Linked DNA regions of Caenorhabditis elegans. The protein of the gene in region 2 interacts with the protein of the main gene of each other region in a pairwise test. Each region holds a gene or a part of one and is shown on either strand. Other genes may lie near its edges. The genes, in order: cdc-37 and pyc-1.

Region 1 (7,707 bases), on a different chromosome or scaffold from region 2:
TCATTTTGATATTCGGTCAAATTGAACTATTGAATTCATACTGAATCCCCACTGACGATTCATTCTTTAAAAAATTAATTTGGAAGAAACCCCAAAATAACAGCTTCAAGTTGACTCCCAAACCTTATGTTATTTCAGATTCTCGATCTCTCTACTCTCAGCAAAAGCGAAAACTGCGGTTGCCAGAGTCAACGGGAACCACGAAAGTGTGTCATTCTCTGATTCGACAATCAGGCTGAGGTCCAGTCTCAATGACAGATATTGTAAGAATCTTCACGATCCTTGTACTCTCCCACCGTCATACAAGAGCATTACTTTCGTATAGTCTTACAGGTCCAGCAAGTGATGTCGTAGCGGATAACATCACGGTTATCCGGCCAGAACCGCTGCCCAAGACAACGACTAGGCCTGCCAACGTTTGGAGGTCACGATGCAAGCGCGCCCCACCGGACGGCGCGCGGATCTGAATTGCCGGCGCCAACTCTAATTGTCATCATTCTCGACTTTTCTTGGCCCCGCCCAATTCCCCTATATAAGGAGCCGGAAACGCTCATTCTAGGTCTTCTCTAATTCCTTTTACTTGTGTTACTTATCGTCCTTTTCCCCTCCTTACATGTCCCATTAACTCGGTGATTTCTCTATTAATTTATCCTTAATAAACCGTAATAACCTCAAAACCTCCAACTCTTATTATTCTTTAAAGAATTAATTTGGAAGAAACCCCAAAATAACAGCTTCAAGTTGACTCCCAAACCTTATGTTATTTCAGATTCTCGATCTCGCTACTCTCAGCAAAAGCGAAAACTGCGGTTGCCAGAGTCAACGGGAACCACGAAAGTTTGACATTCTCTGATTCGACAATCAGGCTGAGGTCCAGTCTCAATGACAGATATTTATTCATATTTAAAGAAAATCCACCGAGGGTGGTAGCTAGAAGGAATATGCGAGGATCTGAAGACGAAATCGAGATTCCTCACCTCACACTTATCAAGTTCCTGGACCACATCCACGAGGTTTTGCATCAGAACCGGCAAATCCACATTAACCTCGAAAATGGGATGAATGAAGAGATAAAAACGATTTGTTCTCTCTTTGAGAACAGGAAGATCGCGAGCTGCAGCACCACATCCACGGAAGTTCAGGGGCACCATCTCTTCGGGACTCATCCAGAGAACCTGGAGATTGTCGTGGTCCCAATAAGAAAAGAACTCTTGGTTCAAAATTATGAGGAGCTGAAAGTCACCAATCTCACACTGAACGAGGTGTTCTTGTCAAATAGTCGAACGCTTCGTTCATTGCACCACTCAATGACTGCAAAGGATGTCAACTTGTTCTTGAAGATCTGGATTCAGAACTCACAGCTGAGAATCAGTGATCTTGTTGTAGATGGTCTGAATATTGAGCATCCTGTACATGGAACTATTCTCCGCGGAATAGACTTTACTAGATACGAAGATCCTCTGGTCGTGGATGATGGAATGGTTCAACACGTCCAAATTGTGTGCAAAAGAGGGATCAAGGCAAAGGTTTCCCTCACCAGAACTACTGTTCGATTCGTCCGGCTGGCCGACGATGAGTAAGCAGCGACTTTTGATCATCTTTCACTGCAAATGCCTTCAAATACCTGTGCAATTATTTTTTTCGGTTGAGCTATATGGTTAAATGGTTGAGGTGATGAAATAAATATGTTCTTGTATTTTAAATTATGCAATAAAATGGCTCAAGAAATCGAATTACACAACCGTAAAAATGGAAGTAGAGGGGGGACATTGGGATAAAACATGACTGAATAAATGAAAATTTCGGGTTAGAATGCTTGTAGAAATGCACCGGATGGGGAATCACATAAATTATTTAAAGTTCTCCAGTGGCGCGGGCCTTGTAGTGCTGGAAGACACGATAGAGGGTGTGGCTCAGGTTGTTCCAGTAGTTGTAGGCCTGCTTCATGTAGAATTGAATGACCGAGAGTGGCTCGCCGAGTGAGATTCCAGAGGTGACGTGGACGGTGGAGGAGAGTGGGAGGAAGCCGCGACCTGAAAAATATAAAAATTCATTAGAAACGAGGGGATTTTTATATGGGTCTGGTTGACTACAAACTACAAAATTATATTTAGCAGACCAAGCGATTTCAGTTCGAAATTGGTCTGCTAGACTACAAACTACAAAATTATATTTAGCAGACCCAAGTGATTTCAATTCGAAATTGGTCTGCTAGACTACAAACTACAAAACTGTATTTAGCAGACCATGCGATTTCAGTTCGAAATTGGTCTGCTAGACTACAAACTACAAAATTATATTTAGCAGACCAAGTGATTTGATTTCGAAATTGGTCTGCTAGACTACAAACTACAAAATTATATTTAGCAGACCCAGGTGATTTTAATTCGAAATTGGTCTGCCAGACTCAAAAAAAAACGAATTTTCCTTGATTTTCGGTGTAATTTACCGTAGCACGCGACGTAGGTGTCCTTCTCGAAGCTGTACACGTGGGACTCGAACTGTCCGTGCCTGAAAGCGGCTCCCGAAGCAAAGTTCTCCGACGTCTCGTCCTGAGTTCCGTCATTGAATCGGCTGACTTTTCCTTTCAACACGGTGCACGTCGTATTTGCCCAATGGAGCCCCGGGCGTCCTGAAGTTGGGAACGGAGCGGAGAAGGCGGCGGCGAACTCGGTGAAAGCGGTCAGCATTGGGTACATCTGGAAAATTCATTAAATTTAAGATTTTTTTTCGATTTTTCCTGTTCCTCACCCTTAAAGTGAGGCCTCCCAACTGAATAGCGTGCCATTCGAAGTGACTTGGCATGATTGGCTCGTAATAAGTGCGCATTCCAGACGTCAATGTGGAAATTGACTGGGAGATTGTTGGAGCAGCTGAAAATATACAATATATTAAAATTGCGGTATTTTCGCAGAAAAATATGTTTTTCCTCACCAGCAGCCTTTCCAGCGATAGTCTTGAACTGCTTCGGCGAGATGTCATAAGACTTCCAGCGGAGGCCAAATTGAGCAGCCTGGAAGACTGCGTAGAAGAGCAGAAGATACCGAAGCTTTGAGGTGAGAAGAGCCATTTTCACGTGTTGAACTACCCTGAAAACATGGAAATTTGGAAATTTTGCGTGAAAAAAAAAGGAAATACAGTCATTTCGCGAGTTTTCAAGAGGGACAGCGAGTGCGAAGAAGAAAAATTGTGAGTTTAACATTGATTTTTTGAAATTTCAGATGTTTTTTCGCGGAAAAATCAATGGAAATGCTTGAAAAATGCAAGAAATGGCGCTGCAGCGCGCTGAAAATTAAAAAAATCAGCGAAAAAGGAATTGTGTGCAAACACCGTGACGCAGAAGCACACAGAAAACACCATATCTGACGCGCATTGCCACAGAAGGACCGAGAAGAAAAACAAAAGTCATTTTTCGCCTTTCTCATGTTATTTTCGGGGTTTCCTTCGATTTTTTCCACTTTTAGAAGTCTAAATTTAATTCTACAGGCTTTTAAAAATCAATTTGTCGGAGTTTTGGGCCAAAAAAAAGGCCGAAATCCGCTAGAAAACGTAGTATTTCTATTTGAGAAATTTTGAAGAAATTTCTCGAAAATTGCTCAGCAAATAGTTAATTCCACGTAAATCCTTTGAAACATCATTATAATGCCACGTTTTCTTCATGAAATTTCTGTTTTCGTAATTTCACGCGGATTATCCTCGTTGTCGTGGCAACCGAGTCGGAATTTTCCAGCGATTATCAGTTTTCTCTCGCTTTTCCTGCTAATTCCTTATTTTCCACTCAATTTTCTCGATTTTCAGCTCAAAAATGCCAATCGACTACTCCAAATGGAAGGATATCGAGGTTTCCGACGACGAGGACGACACTCACCCGAACATTGACACTCCGTCGCTCTTCAGATGGCGCCATCAAGCTCGTTTGGAGCGAATGGCCGAGAAGAAGATGGAACAGGAGAAAATCGATAAGGAAAAGGGCACGACGAGCAAGAAGATGGAGGAGCTCGAGAAGAAGCTTGCCGCAGCCGATGTCACTGACAAGTCGGATATTCAGAAGCAAATCGACGAGGTGAAGGCGCAAGAAGAAGCCTGGCGCAAGAAGGAGGCCGAACTCGAGGAGAAAGAGCGTCTGGAGCCATGGAACGTCGACACGATCGGTCATGAGGCGTTCAGCACGTCGAGGATCAATAAGGTTTTGAAGATTTTTCTGTGCAAATTGATTAATTCTGTAATTTCAGATCACCGAGAAGAAGCCGCAAGCTCCCAAAACCGATGAGGAGGACACTCATGCGATGAGCACTTTCTTCGAGACTCACGAGAGCCTTCTGGAGAAGATGGCCGTGCTCAAGAACGGAGCCAAGTCGACGGAGCTGTTCCTGGCCGAGCATCCGCATATGGCGTCGGAGTACACTGCAAATTGGCTCACAATTGAGGCTCTCAACGCCGCCATCGATTTTAATGAGGAGAAAATGAAGACGATGGCTGAGCAATGCATCATCATTCAATATCTTCTGGAGCTCTCGAAATCGCTGAACGCAGTCGCCACGAATACCACCGTCCAGAAGCAATTCTTCAAGAAGTTCGAAGCCGCCGAGCCGGTCTACATGAAGCACTATCAGGATGAGGTGAAGGCGTTCGAGGATCGTCTCAGAACACGTGCGCAGACGAAGAGAGACGCCGCGATGGAGGAGGCTGAAGCCGAGGAGAAAGCCGAACGAATGAAGAGTGCTCCGGGAGGAATCGATCCACAGGAAGTGTTCGAGCAGCTGCCGGAGGAGATGAGAAAGTGCTTTGAGGCACATGATATCGAGGCGTTGAAGGGTGTCGCCCAGAAAATGGATGAAGAGGTGAATATTTGGGTCTGCTAAATTGAAATTTGTAGTTTGTAGTCTAGCAGACCAAGTTTCTTCCAAATGGCATTGGTCTGCTAAATCGGAATTTGTAGTTTGTAGTCTAGCAGACCAAGGTTCTTCAAAATGGCATTGGTCTGCTAAATCGAAATGTGTAGTTTGTAGACTAGCAGACCCAAAGTTTTCAATTTTCGCAATGAAAATTGCAAAAATTGATAAATTTTCAATTTTTCAGCGGAAAAATGAATATTTTTCAAATAGAAATTAGCAAAAATTCAGGTTTTTTGCGATTTTTAGTGGAAAATTGTGCGATTTTTGTGTTTTAAGACAAAAGTGCGTATTTTAATATAAAATCCTGAAAAAATCTGAACTTTCGGGGGAAAATTGATCTATTTTCAAATTTTTGAGTGAATTAACATTGTATTCCAAAAAAAAACGAATCAAAAATCAAAATTTTAAGCTGAAAACAGGCATTTTTTAATTTTGGTCTGCTAAATCGAGTTTTGTAGTTTGTAGTCTAGCAGACCAAATTTCTTCAAAACCACCTATGGTCTGCTAAATCGAAATTAGTAGTTTGTAGGCTATTATTTTTAGCCAAATTCATCTAATTTCAACATCCAAAAATCCAAATTTTCAGGTCTTCAAGTACCATTTCGATCGATGCATCGCCTCTGGACTCTGGGTGCCCGGAAAAGCTGACGACGACGACGACGATGAGGAAGCTGCTCCAGCCGAGGAAGAGCCAACAACCAGCTCCTAAATTTCCCCATTATTCCCCGTTTGAAAGTTCCCCTGATCTACTTGTTTTTTCTGCACCGCACTTTACTTTTTCCCCAAGATTCACTGAAAATGGCCCAATTATTTCTTTATTTATTCTACACCCCCCACGACATTTACTGTTTATTTTCCCTCTCGAACACCTGTAAAAAAGTTTTTTTTTGCTTCGAGAATCGTTCCACTTCGTATTCAAAAATTCCAATTCGGAATAGCATAAAGATTATCATCATCAACTTTCTTCTTATTGTGTTTATTCGTTTTTTTTTCTCACGATTTTTTGAAAGTGATGTTTTGTAAGCAAACGTTAGTCTCCGCCTGACAACTATAAAGTTCAATAATGGATGTATTATCGGTCATTTTTTGGCTGAAAATGGTAAATTCGCGGCTTATTCTACTAGTTTTTGTCCCATTTTCCTTGGCACAATTGAGCTTGTATGGAAGTGAGTCTAGGATGGGTCTGCTAGCCTACAAACTTCAAATTTTGATTTAGCAGACCCAATAACGTGCCATTTCGGCGTGATCTACGTAGATCTACAAAAAATGCGGGAGTTGAGGCGCAGAGTTCTCAACTGATTTTGCCTGCTGACGTCACATTTTAGGGCGAAAAATTCCCGCATTTTTTGTAGATCAAACCGTGATGGGAAGAGCCTGACACCACGTGACACAAATGATTTCTTAAATAAAAATAATTTCCAGATTGGACCCCAACTGTCATTCGTTACTGTGAGACGCTCCAATCAGCTACAGTACCCCTGACTGGAGGTGTCACTTGTGGATCTTCGTCGTATAATGTGATGAATGCTTGTTAGTTATTGATTTTCTGATTTAAAAATAATTTAATCTGCAATTTCAGAGTTTTTGGAAAAGTTCAAAAAATTCAGAAAGAATTAATTTTTTTTTCAAACATTTCAATTTTTATTTTGAGAAATGTTATTAGAATGCGTATTGCACAACATATTTGACGCGCAAAATATCTCGTAGCGAAAACTACGGTAATTCTTTAAATGACTACTGTAGCGCCAGGTGTCGATTTACGGGCTCGATTTTTGAAATTAATTTATTTTCGAATTATTTTCTTATTTTTTACTTAGTTTAAATATTCTATAAATTATTTTTATTAATTTCAAAAATTGAGCCCGTAAATCGACACCTTGCGCTACAGTAGTCATTTAAAGAATTACTGTAGTTTTCGCTTCGAGATATTTTGCGCGTCAAATATGTTGTGCAGTACGCATGTGATCCCATAATATGTTCTAATTTAAAATCGATATTTTATAGTTTTCACACTTCCAATCAGTTCTACACTTTCACTTGGACTTATCAATGTCGGATGGATCACCTCGTAATTTTTTTTCAATTTTTTTCAGCTTGAAAAAATTTGAACAATTTTCAGGGAAGCTCTAAAATCTCAATCCGGATTCTGGAAGACATGCAAGCCATATTTGGTTCGACTTTTTGATGGGATATATACGGATACTAGTGAGGAAACTTATTTTCTTGCTGAAAATCGAGTCCAGCTCACCGAGACCTTTTAAATGACCCCCATATTGACTAGAATCCCTCAATTTTAAATTTTGGAGGGTCTCGGCACGAAAAAGGGGGGGGGCGTACTGTAGCTTTTCGTGGTGGAACCCAATGAAATTCGAAAAGAAGGGATGCTTGCCATTATGGGGGTCATTTGAGAGCTTTCGAATTATTTTGCACAATCAAATTTTTTTTTAAGTTGGTGGCCTAGAAATTTGAAATTCTAGGCCACCAACTTCAAAGCTTTGTAACTTTGCCGAAAATCGATATTTTTTAGTTTTTAAAATAGGATTTTGTAGGAAAAATGTCAAATTTTTCACCTTGATTATTAAAAAGTTTAAATTTTCAGCAAATGCCTGTGCACTGATGAACAATCCTCCGTCAGGCCTTCCAAATTGCACAGAGGACCAGACTAACCTTCTATACCGTAGTGGAAGTGGTTACTGTATGAAAGAAAAAGTTTGTGGAGCATTTGCCACAATTGACTTCCTGGCGGGACCTGATAATTCTTGTAAGTGGCGAAACTTTTTTTTCTGAATTTTTATACAATTTTTTCGACGTA
Region 2 (9,407 bases):
CGATTCTCGAGTCTCCAATTGAAGAGCGATCACTTTGCTGTTTTTGAATTGATGGGACTGTTTCCGGCGCGACGACTTTCAGATTCTGAAAAAATGCACGTATTAAAGAACCTTGAGAAGATAAATTTTTGAATTTTTTTAGACAGGTTCTGGTAGAAAATTCTAGTCTGACTGAATTTAAAAAAAAATTAATTCAGAAAAATAAAATAAAATAATTATCAAAAAATACGATCGCACAAATTTCTCATGATTTATTTTTGATCTACCTGTTGAACTTGACTCCCCCCCCCCCCCCCCCCCCCCAATATGGTTGCCGTTGTTATTTTGTTGTGGCTGTCTTGTCGAAGGACGGGGATGAGCCTAGTCAACAAGGTAGATCAAAAATAAATTATGAGAAAATTGTGCGATCGTACTTTTCCGATAATAATGTAGTCTAACTAGGGAATGATTTGCAGAGGGTTTAGAACTTTAAAACAAATTTAGTTGTAGAGATATTGTAATGAAATCCACTGTAACTTTAACAGACCGTGTTGCTTTACTTCAAGCGTTTATATCTCTACAACCAAATTTTTTTACGTAAAGTGTTCAACAGAAAAGTTGTTGTTTGAATCATGATCTATAATTTTCCAGTTGATTACTTTTCCAGAAAAAATTTTCCGACAGAGTTTTGGGATTTTAAAGACAAGTGGTTTCACAAGCATCGACGGTGAAAATAGATCCGGTTTTTTTTTTGTCAAAAACTGTGATTTGGACGTTTAAATTTGTGGAAACTAGCAAAGCCCTCTACATTATTTCAGAAGTTAAGAAAAAATTTTCAAAAAAATTTTTTGAAGCAAAATTTTGCATGGGTTTGATGGAGGATTTTTTGTCAAAATGTCAAAAAATATTTGTTTTTTTTATTTCTCCAAACTGTTAGTTGAGTGTTTTAGAAGAAAAAACAATCATATTTTAAACGGGTCAAAATGTTCTGTCTGCCCTATATGAACAATCCTATGCCACTGTAAAAAATTGCAAAAAAACGTTAGACTTCAGGATATTGAACTTTGGATCATCTGATCATGAGCCCAGAACCGTTGAGCCACAGAGCCGTGATTTTGAACTGACAATAAATAAATAAAAATCTTTTTGAAGTATATTCTGTTCACGTAAAAACTCTTAACCATATGAAATAAATAGTTGGGCTTACGTTGAAAATCAACTGAAATCAGTAGTAATTTTCAGACGCAAATATCTCGAGTTCTAGATGTCCGAGGCAAAAATGGTCTCTTACGTTGAAGAAGTACATAATATCAGCTATCGAATGGCACTAAATTTGTTTTAAAATTCTAAATTCTCTGAAACCATTCCCAAGTAAAATAAATAAAACTTTAAAACATACGTTTTCTTTTCAGATATTTCAGTCTCTATAATTTGTGTTTTGTTTTTTTTAAATTAAATGGCGTAGTGAATAGTACTATTTACACTAACGTAGGTATTATGTAGAAGTCTAAAGATAAACATTTTCCCCAGCAAACACGAAATTACTGTAACTCCTGTTGATTTATGAGTCTCCATTGCAACCTATTTTTATGTTAAAAATCTTCTCAGCAATAGTGGTCAGTAAAGTGAGACGAGCTAGCTCGCAGTTCGCGTGGCGAGACCAATGCGCGTATGATATGGCGACTCTTCCCATCATTAGATTTCTACGTAATAATTGATTTTATCGAGTTGCTTTATCGAGTTGCATTGCTCTTCGGTGAGTTTCAGTGATAAAATTGAGAGAGAAGTGAACGAGTTTATATTCTACACAAAGACAATGAGCACCCGATGCAATAAATACTTTTTCTAAGAAAACAATATAAATGCAAAAGTGGAGGGAAAACGAAAAATTACTGGCAATGAAGACGTTTAGAAAATTTTGGGGAGGCAATACACAGAATATACACATTGAGATGGTTCGAATGGCAAAGAGAAGGTGGTGGCTAATCATTCTATATAGCACAACGCCAAATATAATTTCGATGTGGCGGAATTTGTGATGGTGAATGGAATTAACAAAAAAAGAGACAAAATGCGAGTTTATTGATGTCAGTTCATGGTTCAACTTCAACTACCAAGTCTCCGGCACTACATTTGGTTCCTTGTGGTGCATGGATAGCCTTGACGGTTCCAGCAATTGGAGAGTCGATGACCATCTCCATTTTCATGGCGGAAAGCACAAATAGGGGTTGCTTCTTGGTAACCTGAAAAGAAATAATTCCTATATTCATTTTTTATGCCATCATTTTTTTATGTGATTTTTGTGTAGGACAAGAAGAAAAAACGTGGGAGGCATAAGGCTATAAATTTATCTCTTTCCGTTTTTCCCTACAATTTCCGTTGTGGGGCCCACCGCTTCTGAATTCGTCCCATTTGTCTTTTTTTGTTTTTCAAAGAAATTCAGAATACATATCCCGGATGCATGATTGATTTATTACATCTTTAGATATGCGTTGTATTACCTTGTCGCCTTCCTTGATTTTCAGCTCCAAAACATCTCCTGGCATTGGTGCTCCAATATGTCCACGGACACCTGGGAGAGCTCTTGGGCGAGTTACAATTTCCTTGGAAGCTTCCTTGTCAACCACGAAGATACTTCTCATTTGTCCATTGAGATCAAAGAAGACTTCGCGTTCTCCACGCTTGTTTAGTTTTCCTTCAGCGAGCAATTGAATTGCAAGAGTTTTTCCACTCTCGATTTCAACCTGAAATAAAATTCATAAGTCGTGAAATTCAGAAATGTAGATTAATGTAGAATCACTTACATCAACTTCTTCCGCAATCTCCAATCCAGTCAAGAAGAGTCTCGTTGGCAGCTTATCAACTGGTCCATATTGTTGACGGAAAGTCTCAAACTCATCGAAAACCGTTGGGAACATCGAATATGACATCACATCTTCTTCAGACAAAGTACGTCCATGTTTCTCTTCAAGTTCGACCTTCACAGCATCTAGATCAACTGGCTTAGCATTTTCTCCTGGCCTTCCATCGACTTTTGGCTTTCCACGAAGGACTTTAGTTCTCAATGGCTCAGGGAATCCATATGGAGGTTGTCCGACATTTCCTTGCATGAAATCAACGACACTTTTTGGGAAGGATAGATCATCGGCACGGTCGACAAGAGTTTCGCGAGTCAAGTTGTTTTGCACCATAAACTGAGCCAAGTCACCGACAATCTTGGATGATGGCGTAACTTTAATTATGTCGCCAAGAACAAGATTAGCTTCACGATACATACGCTTGACTTCATCGAACTGTGGCCCAAGTCCGAGAGAGAATGCTTGGAATTGCAAGTTCGTGTACTGTCCTCCTGGAATTTCGTGCTTGTAAACATCGGCATTTCCACTTTTCATGGTGGTGGCACATTCGAATGGAGCATAGAGTTGACGAGTTGACTCCCAGTATGCAGAATATTTTGAAATGTCATCAAGAGAAAGACCTTAAATATAAATTAGACATTTTTCAAACGATATTGTAACTCACCAGTATCATGTTTAGTTCCTTGAAGACTAGCTACAATAGCTCCCATTGAAGGCTGAGAAGTCATTCCACTCATGCTATCAACTGCAGCATCGACCACATCAGCTCCAGCTTTGGCACACTCAAGCATAGCAGCAACTCCAGCTCCAGATGTATCGTGGGTATGAACGTGAATTGGAATATCTGGGAACTTGTCTCGGAGAGCGCCAATCAACAACTTGGCAGCTTCCGGTTTCAGAACTCCAGCCATATCCTTGATAGAAAGAATATGCGCTTGAGCTTTGACAAGTTGATCAGCCAAGTTCAAATAGTATTTGAGGTCGTATTTGTCACGAGACTTATCGGTAACATCTCCAGTGTATGCGATAGCAGCTTCAACAACTCCACCGGCCTTTCCAACGGCTTCCATTCCGACGAGAAGATTTGGAAGATAGTTCAGTGAATCAAATACACGGAACACATCCATTCCATTTTTCACCGCCAACTCGCAGAACTTGTAAATAACGTTATCAGGATAATTTGAATATCCCATAGCATTGGCACCTCGCAGAAGACATTGGAATGGAATATTTGGAATCAGTTTGCGAAGAGTTTGAAGACGTTCCCATGGACACTCGTGGAGGAAGCGCATGGAAACATCGAAAGTAGCTCCTCCCCAGTTTTCAAGTGAGAAGAGACCATTGAATGATTGGGCAACAAAAGGTGAAATAGCAGCCATATCATAGGTACGTACTCGTGTTGCAAGAAGAGATTGATGTGCATCTCTGAAAATGTGAAATTAATATATGTTACTTTCTTTTTGAGTTTATACCTGAATGTAGTATCAGTGATCATACATCCTGGTCTACTGCGAACTTCCTTTGCAAACTCAGTTGGTCCTCTTTGAACAAGTACATCACGAAGTCCAGTCGGCGGTTTGGCTCCAGCTGGGATGTATGGGATCGGAGGAGAAACAACTGCTGGTTTCAGGTCAGTAGCAAGAGGAGTAGTTGGACCGTTCACCTTAACTTCTCCCAAATAGTTCAACAACTTTTGAGCACGGTTTTGGCTTGGTTTGAATTGGAACAACTCTGGATGCTCATCAATGAAATACGTATCGACGGATGCATCAAGGAAGCTGGGCTGGCGAAGAACGTTGAGCAGAAATGGGATGTTTGTCTGAAAAAGTTTAAAGTTTAGTCATTGATCAGCCATCAGGCAGAATATCAGTCAGTGGCAATGGGTTTCCTTATCAGTGAGAAAATGGTGATAGCTATCAACATGATTTGGTGTACTTTGATTTCATTTTTTGATTGAATTCTCACCTTTACGCCTCGGATACGGAACTTTTTGAGGGCACGAATCATTTTTGCGGCAGCGTTCGGATGATTTCTAGCCGATGCAATTACTTTGACCATCAAAGAATCGTAGTGAGGTGAAATGACTGATCCTGCGAAGGCAGATGCTGAATCAAGACGAATTCCCATTCCCTCTCCGGATCGGAAAACTTCAATTCTTCCGGAATCTGGCTGGAATCCTTTAGCTGGATCTTCAGTTGTGACACGACATTGAATAGCTGAGCCAGTAGTTTGAATAGTTTCCTGTGAAAGCTTCAGATCATCCAGAGATTTTCCTTCGGCGATACGAATTTGAGCTTGGACAAGATCCACACCAGTGATCTCTTCAGTTACTGTATGCTCGACTTGAAGACGTGCATTCACTTCGATGAAATAGTAGTTGCCCTTCTGATCAACCAGGAATTCGACTGTACCAGCATTTTGGTATCCAACATGTCTTGCAAGTCGAAGAGCGTCTGCCAAAATTTTCTCACGAACACCTTCTGGGAGAGCTGGCGCTGGAGCAATTTCAACAACCTTTTGATGACGACGTTGCACTGAACAATCACGCTCATACAAATGAACAATATTTCCATGATGGTCTCCTGAAAAATATATTATGTAATTATAATAGTTTCCGCTGAAACTAACCAAGCAGCTGAACTTCAATATGTCTTGGTCTCTCAACAAACTTTTCAACGAAAAGACTTCCGTCTCCAAACGCAGCTTGAGCTTCCGAGTAGGATCTACGGAATGCCTCTTCAACTTCTTCCAATTTATCAACACGACGAATTCCACGACCACCTCCTCCATAAGCGGCCTTCAAAATAATTGGTGTACCGTACTGCTTTGCAAATTCGACAGCTTCATCAGCAGTTGTAATTGGTCCAGGAGTTCCTGGAACGACTTGAACACCAGCTTCAATGGCAGCTTGACGAGCAGCAACTTTGTCTCCCATTCGAGCCATAACGTCGGGGCTAGGACCAATGAACACTATTCCTGCATTTTGACAAGCAGCTGCAAAGTCAGATCGCTCTGACAGAAATCCATATCCGGGATGAATAGCATCAATGTTGTGCTATAAAGGGTACGATAATCTTGGTCAATTTTTGTCCTACAAACCTTCAGGGCAGTTTCTATAATCTGGTCAATAGTCAGATAAGCAGCAACCGGTGGAAGACCTTTTCCTACAAGATAGGCTTCGTCAGCTTTCAGACGATGCATCGAGTTTTTGTCCTGCTCGGCGTAAATCGCAACAGAAGTTTTGTTCAATTCTGTGAGGGCACGGAACACACGGATTGCAATTTCTCCACGATTGGCCACCATAACCTGAAAAAATTTCCGAATTTATCTTCAAGCACGAAAAAGAAATGAAATACCTTGTTGAATTCTCTTGGTTTGATAACTCCATTGGCATAGTTACGATAATGTGTCTGTCGGACGACATTAGCGAAGATCGGTGGGATGCGGGAGAACCGCATCGTTGTCGTTTATCTGAAACATGCATAGTTTTGAGACGGTGAACCTATTCGGTGAATACAACCAATGAAGATTATTCAATAATGATAGTGTGAACATCGAAGAGACACAGAAACATTACTTTGGTGTACCTTCTACTGTGTGAGAGCAGAAAGCTCAAGAACGAATCGAAGTGTGGTAAACTTCTTCGGAATTCGGACATTATTTGAGATTTTTAGAAGTATCCACGTTGACCACGTGATAAATTAGAACGGTGAAAAATGTGAAAGGTCACGTACGCAGAGCAATAGAGATTTTGAAAAGACCAAGAGGTCACACCACATGAGAGTGAGTGTATGTATGAAGATACATTAATTGATTTAAAAATCATTGTTCATTCTCCATAGAACCACCTAGTGATATTTGTAGAGAAGAATAACAACAGTACTGATAACATTGATAGAATGATAGGAGAAGGGAAGAAAATAAAATATTTTGTTTTTCGATTTTCTAGGTTTTTTCGGTGAAATGAGATGTGAAAGAAGAACCACGTGGCATACCCAAGACCAGACGAAGAACCTAGAGAAAATAAGGAAAATTGAAAAAAATAAAAGTAAACAAAGAAGGAAGTTATCAGAAACTACAGAAACTACAGAAGCCACAGAACGTTCAACATTCAGTTTTGGATTTTTGTAAAATTAGAAAATTAGTTTTTAGAATGGTTTATGAGCATGCCATATTAAATATCTATTCCGCACGGCCAAATATTCCAATATTTTTTGCTGTTCTATCGTTAGTTTTTTTTTTTGATATCTCGGGGATTAGTGTTAATGGTGCGTCCATAGTCTGCGGAAAACGGGGAATTCCCGCGTGCGGAAGCGTCCATAGTCTGCGGAAAAAAACAAGGAGTTTCTCGCTTTGTTATTGGTCAATTTCAAAATAGTGGGCGTGTTCAACCAATTAGAGGCTGTAAAATTTTAAGCTGAGCAATGGGAAAACAAGAAACAACAGCTGATTGGTTGGCCACGCCTACTTTTTGAATTTTGAGGAAAAAAAAAGCGAGGAACTCCGGTTTTTCCGCAGACTATGGACGCTTCCGCACGCGGGAAATTCCCGTTTTCCGCAGACTATGGACGCACTATAATAATTTTTTTTAATTTTGCGGATTTAAAGATATAAAATGTCTTAGAGTATCACAATCAAGTTAAAAATTTGAAAAAAATCTAGATTCAAAGAGAACTAGATCAACACTTTGACCATGGCTATGAATTTGCGGCGACAACAAACTGATAGCCGAGAGACGGTGTTTGTGTCATTTTGTCTTATCAGTCGACTCGGGTGGACACTAGAACACAAAAACTGAGACGCAGAGGAGGAGGATAAATGATTTAAACTTCAGAACCTTCGATTTTTCAAAATGTCAAAATGTTCAAAACTGTTTTTGGTCGTAGTGGGATAGTTAATTTTCGTAAAGGGCTGAAAATAAAAATGATTTAATTAAGTTCACTTTAAAGATCAACATAATGATATTTAATGATCAATGAAACACATTTAATAAAATTAAACTGGCCAATAAACAAGATTTGGATTCCATTTAACGAAAGAATTTCAATGATAAAATTAGAAATTCAGGGTTGGAAACTGAAAGACTATGTGAAAATTGTTTACATAAATTTTATCTGATAGCTAGATTATCGCTGAAAATCGAAAATCTCAGAATCTATGAATTTTCGATCTATCATGACATGACTTATTTCGTACTAATCAAAACATCACAGAACCAGCTTCGATAAGTTTCAAATTTTGATCGTTCTTCGCACTTTCGGCAATCACTGGCGATCACGAGGTTGGCATAAGAGACTCGTAAACGTAGAGGAAAAAAGACTTGTGAGAAAGAAACACGACTGTTGAGTTTAGAAAACGATGCACCATGAACGTACTCAGAACTGCTGTATGAAAAGAGAGGAGGGGTAAAGAAAATACGTGCACATTTTGAATAATTGATGTCTCATTGAGATTAGAGGTCAAAAGTGAAAAGATCAAAGGGTACATAGAACAAATGTTAATTTATGAAAACTTTATAGATACGATATAAAAGTAGTTGATAAAAAGTAAATTTTCATCACAATTAAGTTTGTAAAATTGTGTTCGATACTGATCTTTTTAAATTTTGTTTTATATTAAATTATTAGAACATTAAATAATTTAAATTTTCAGAAGATTCCATAAAAGGATATTATGATAATTTTCTGGATATGGCAACTTGTTTAAATTTATAATAGATAACTCTAACATAGGTGGCATAGATTTTCTTAAAATTTGGGTACTGTTCCTCTCGCTTATCAATTAAACCCAGAAAGTTCTGAGTGTCAAAATGAGAAGAAACAAATATAGATCGTGCTGAAACTTTGCTATGAAGGATCAAAAAACCAGAAGTAATCAGTGTGGTAAAACAATTTTGAACTGGTAATCCGATCAAAATCGATAAGATCAAAAGCACAGAAATCTCTAGTACGCGATAGGAAGTGTCATACAGAAAAGGAGAAAAGGTCAATCTGTAAATTGCCAAAAAATGTGGGCGACTCACACAATTTTAATTTTAGGGAAATTAGAAGATAATATCGATAATATTGGGAGGTTGAAATAATTCACACGGGTTGAGAATATCCGGTAAAAATAAAAATTTAAAAATTCAAAAAATCTATAATAAATAACTTTATTTAAATTGCAGAACATTTCAAAAGTTCTATACCAATAAAAGTAACATATCTATTCATCAGCAAATTTATTTATCGCCGCACCGTCCATTCGAAAAGTGAACCATCCTTCGCTCTTTGTCAAATTTACATAATCAACAGTGTCGTACAGAGCAATCGCATTTTTGTTCCAATCGAGAACTGCCCATTCGAGACGAACAATTCCTTTGTCTCGAGCCAACTCAGCCAGCTTCTTCCACAGAGTTCTTGCTAGTCCCATTCGTCGGAACTGAGGTCGAATGTAGAGATCTTCCATGTGAAGATACTGAAATGATGATTTTTTGGTTGAATTTCAGTACTGTTTCATAAATACCTGCCCAACCCATGTTGAATATGCATAGTAAAAAAGGTTCATTCCAGCTGGCTCCTCTCCGATAAA

The links.
Region 1: the proteins of pyc-1 (region 2) and cdc-37 interact in a two-hybrid assay, tested with the Caenorhabditis elegans proteins (one large-scale study listed by BioGRID).

What each region holds. Positions count from the first base shown.
Region 1 is NC_003280.10:575,984-583,690, reverse strand, and holds cdc-37 (Hsp90 chaperone protein kinase-targeting subunit), read left to right. Parts: upstream 1-3,097; coding exon 3,098-3,189; intron 3,190-3,798; coding exon 3,799-4,186; intron 4,187-4,232; coding exon 4,233-4,841; intron 4,842-4,976; exon of another isoform or gene 4,977-5,030; intron 5,031-5,481; coding exon 5,482-5,604; downstream 5,605-7,707. Other genes in the region: W08F4.12 (F-box domain-containing protein), read left to right, coding at 139-263, 334-467; fbxb-14 (F-box associated domain-containing protein), read left to right, coding at 942-1,580; W08F4.3 (Sigma non-opioid intracellular receptor 1), read right to left, coding at 1,855-2,033, 2,450-2,699, 2,752-2,873, 2,935-3,070; W08F4.7 (CW domain-containing protein), read left to right, coding at 5,959-6,061, 6,318-6,425, 6,900-6,963, 7,015-7,100, 7,495-7,656.
Region 2 is NC_003283.11:11,816,058-11,825,464, forward strand, and holds pyc-1 (Pyruvate carboxylase 1), read right to left. Parts: upstream 6,309-9,407; 5' UTR 6,296-6,308; coding exon 6,194-6,295; intron 6,144-6,193; coding exon 5,937-6,143; intron 5,893-5,936; coding exon 5,466-5,892; intron 5,420-5,465; coding exon 4,803-5,419; intron 4,657-4,802; coding exon 4,310-4,656; intron 4,263-4,309; coding exon 3,502-4,262; intron 3,458-3,501; coding exon 2,784-3,457; intron 2,724-2,783; coding exon 2,481-2,723; intron 2,223-2,480; coding exon 2,073-2,222; 3' UTR 1,726-2,072; downstream 1-1,725. Other genes in the region: D2023.4 (Thialysine N-epsilon-acetyltransferase), read right to left, coding at 9,042-9,293, 9,342-9,407. UniProt on the Caenorhabditis elegans protein: Pyruvate carboxylase catalyzes a 2-step reaction, involving the ATP-dependent carboxylation of the covalently attached biotin in the first step and the transfer of the carboxyl group to pyruvate in the second.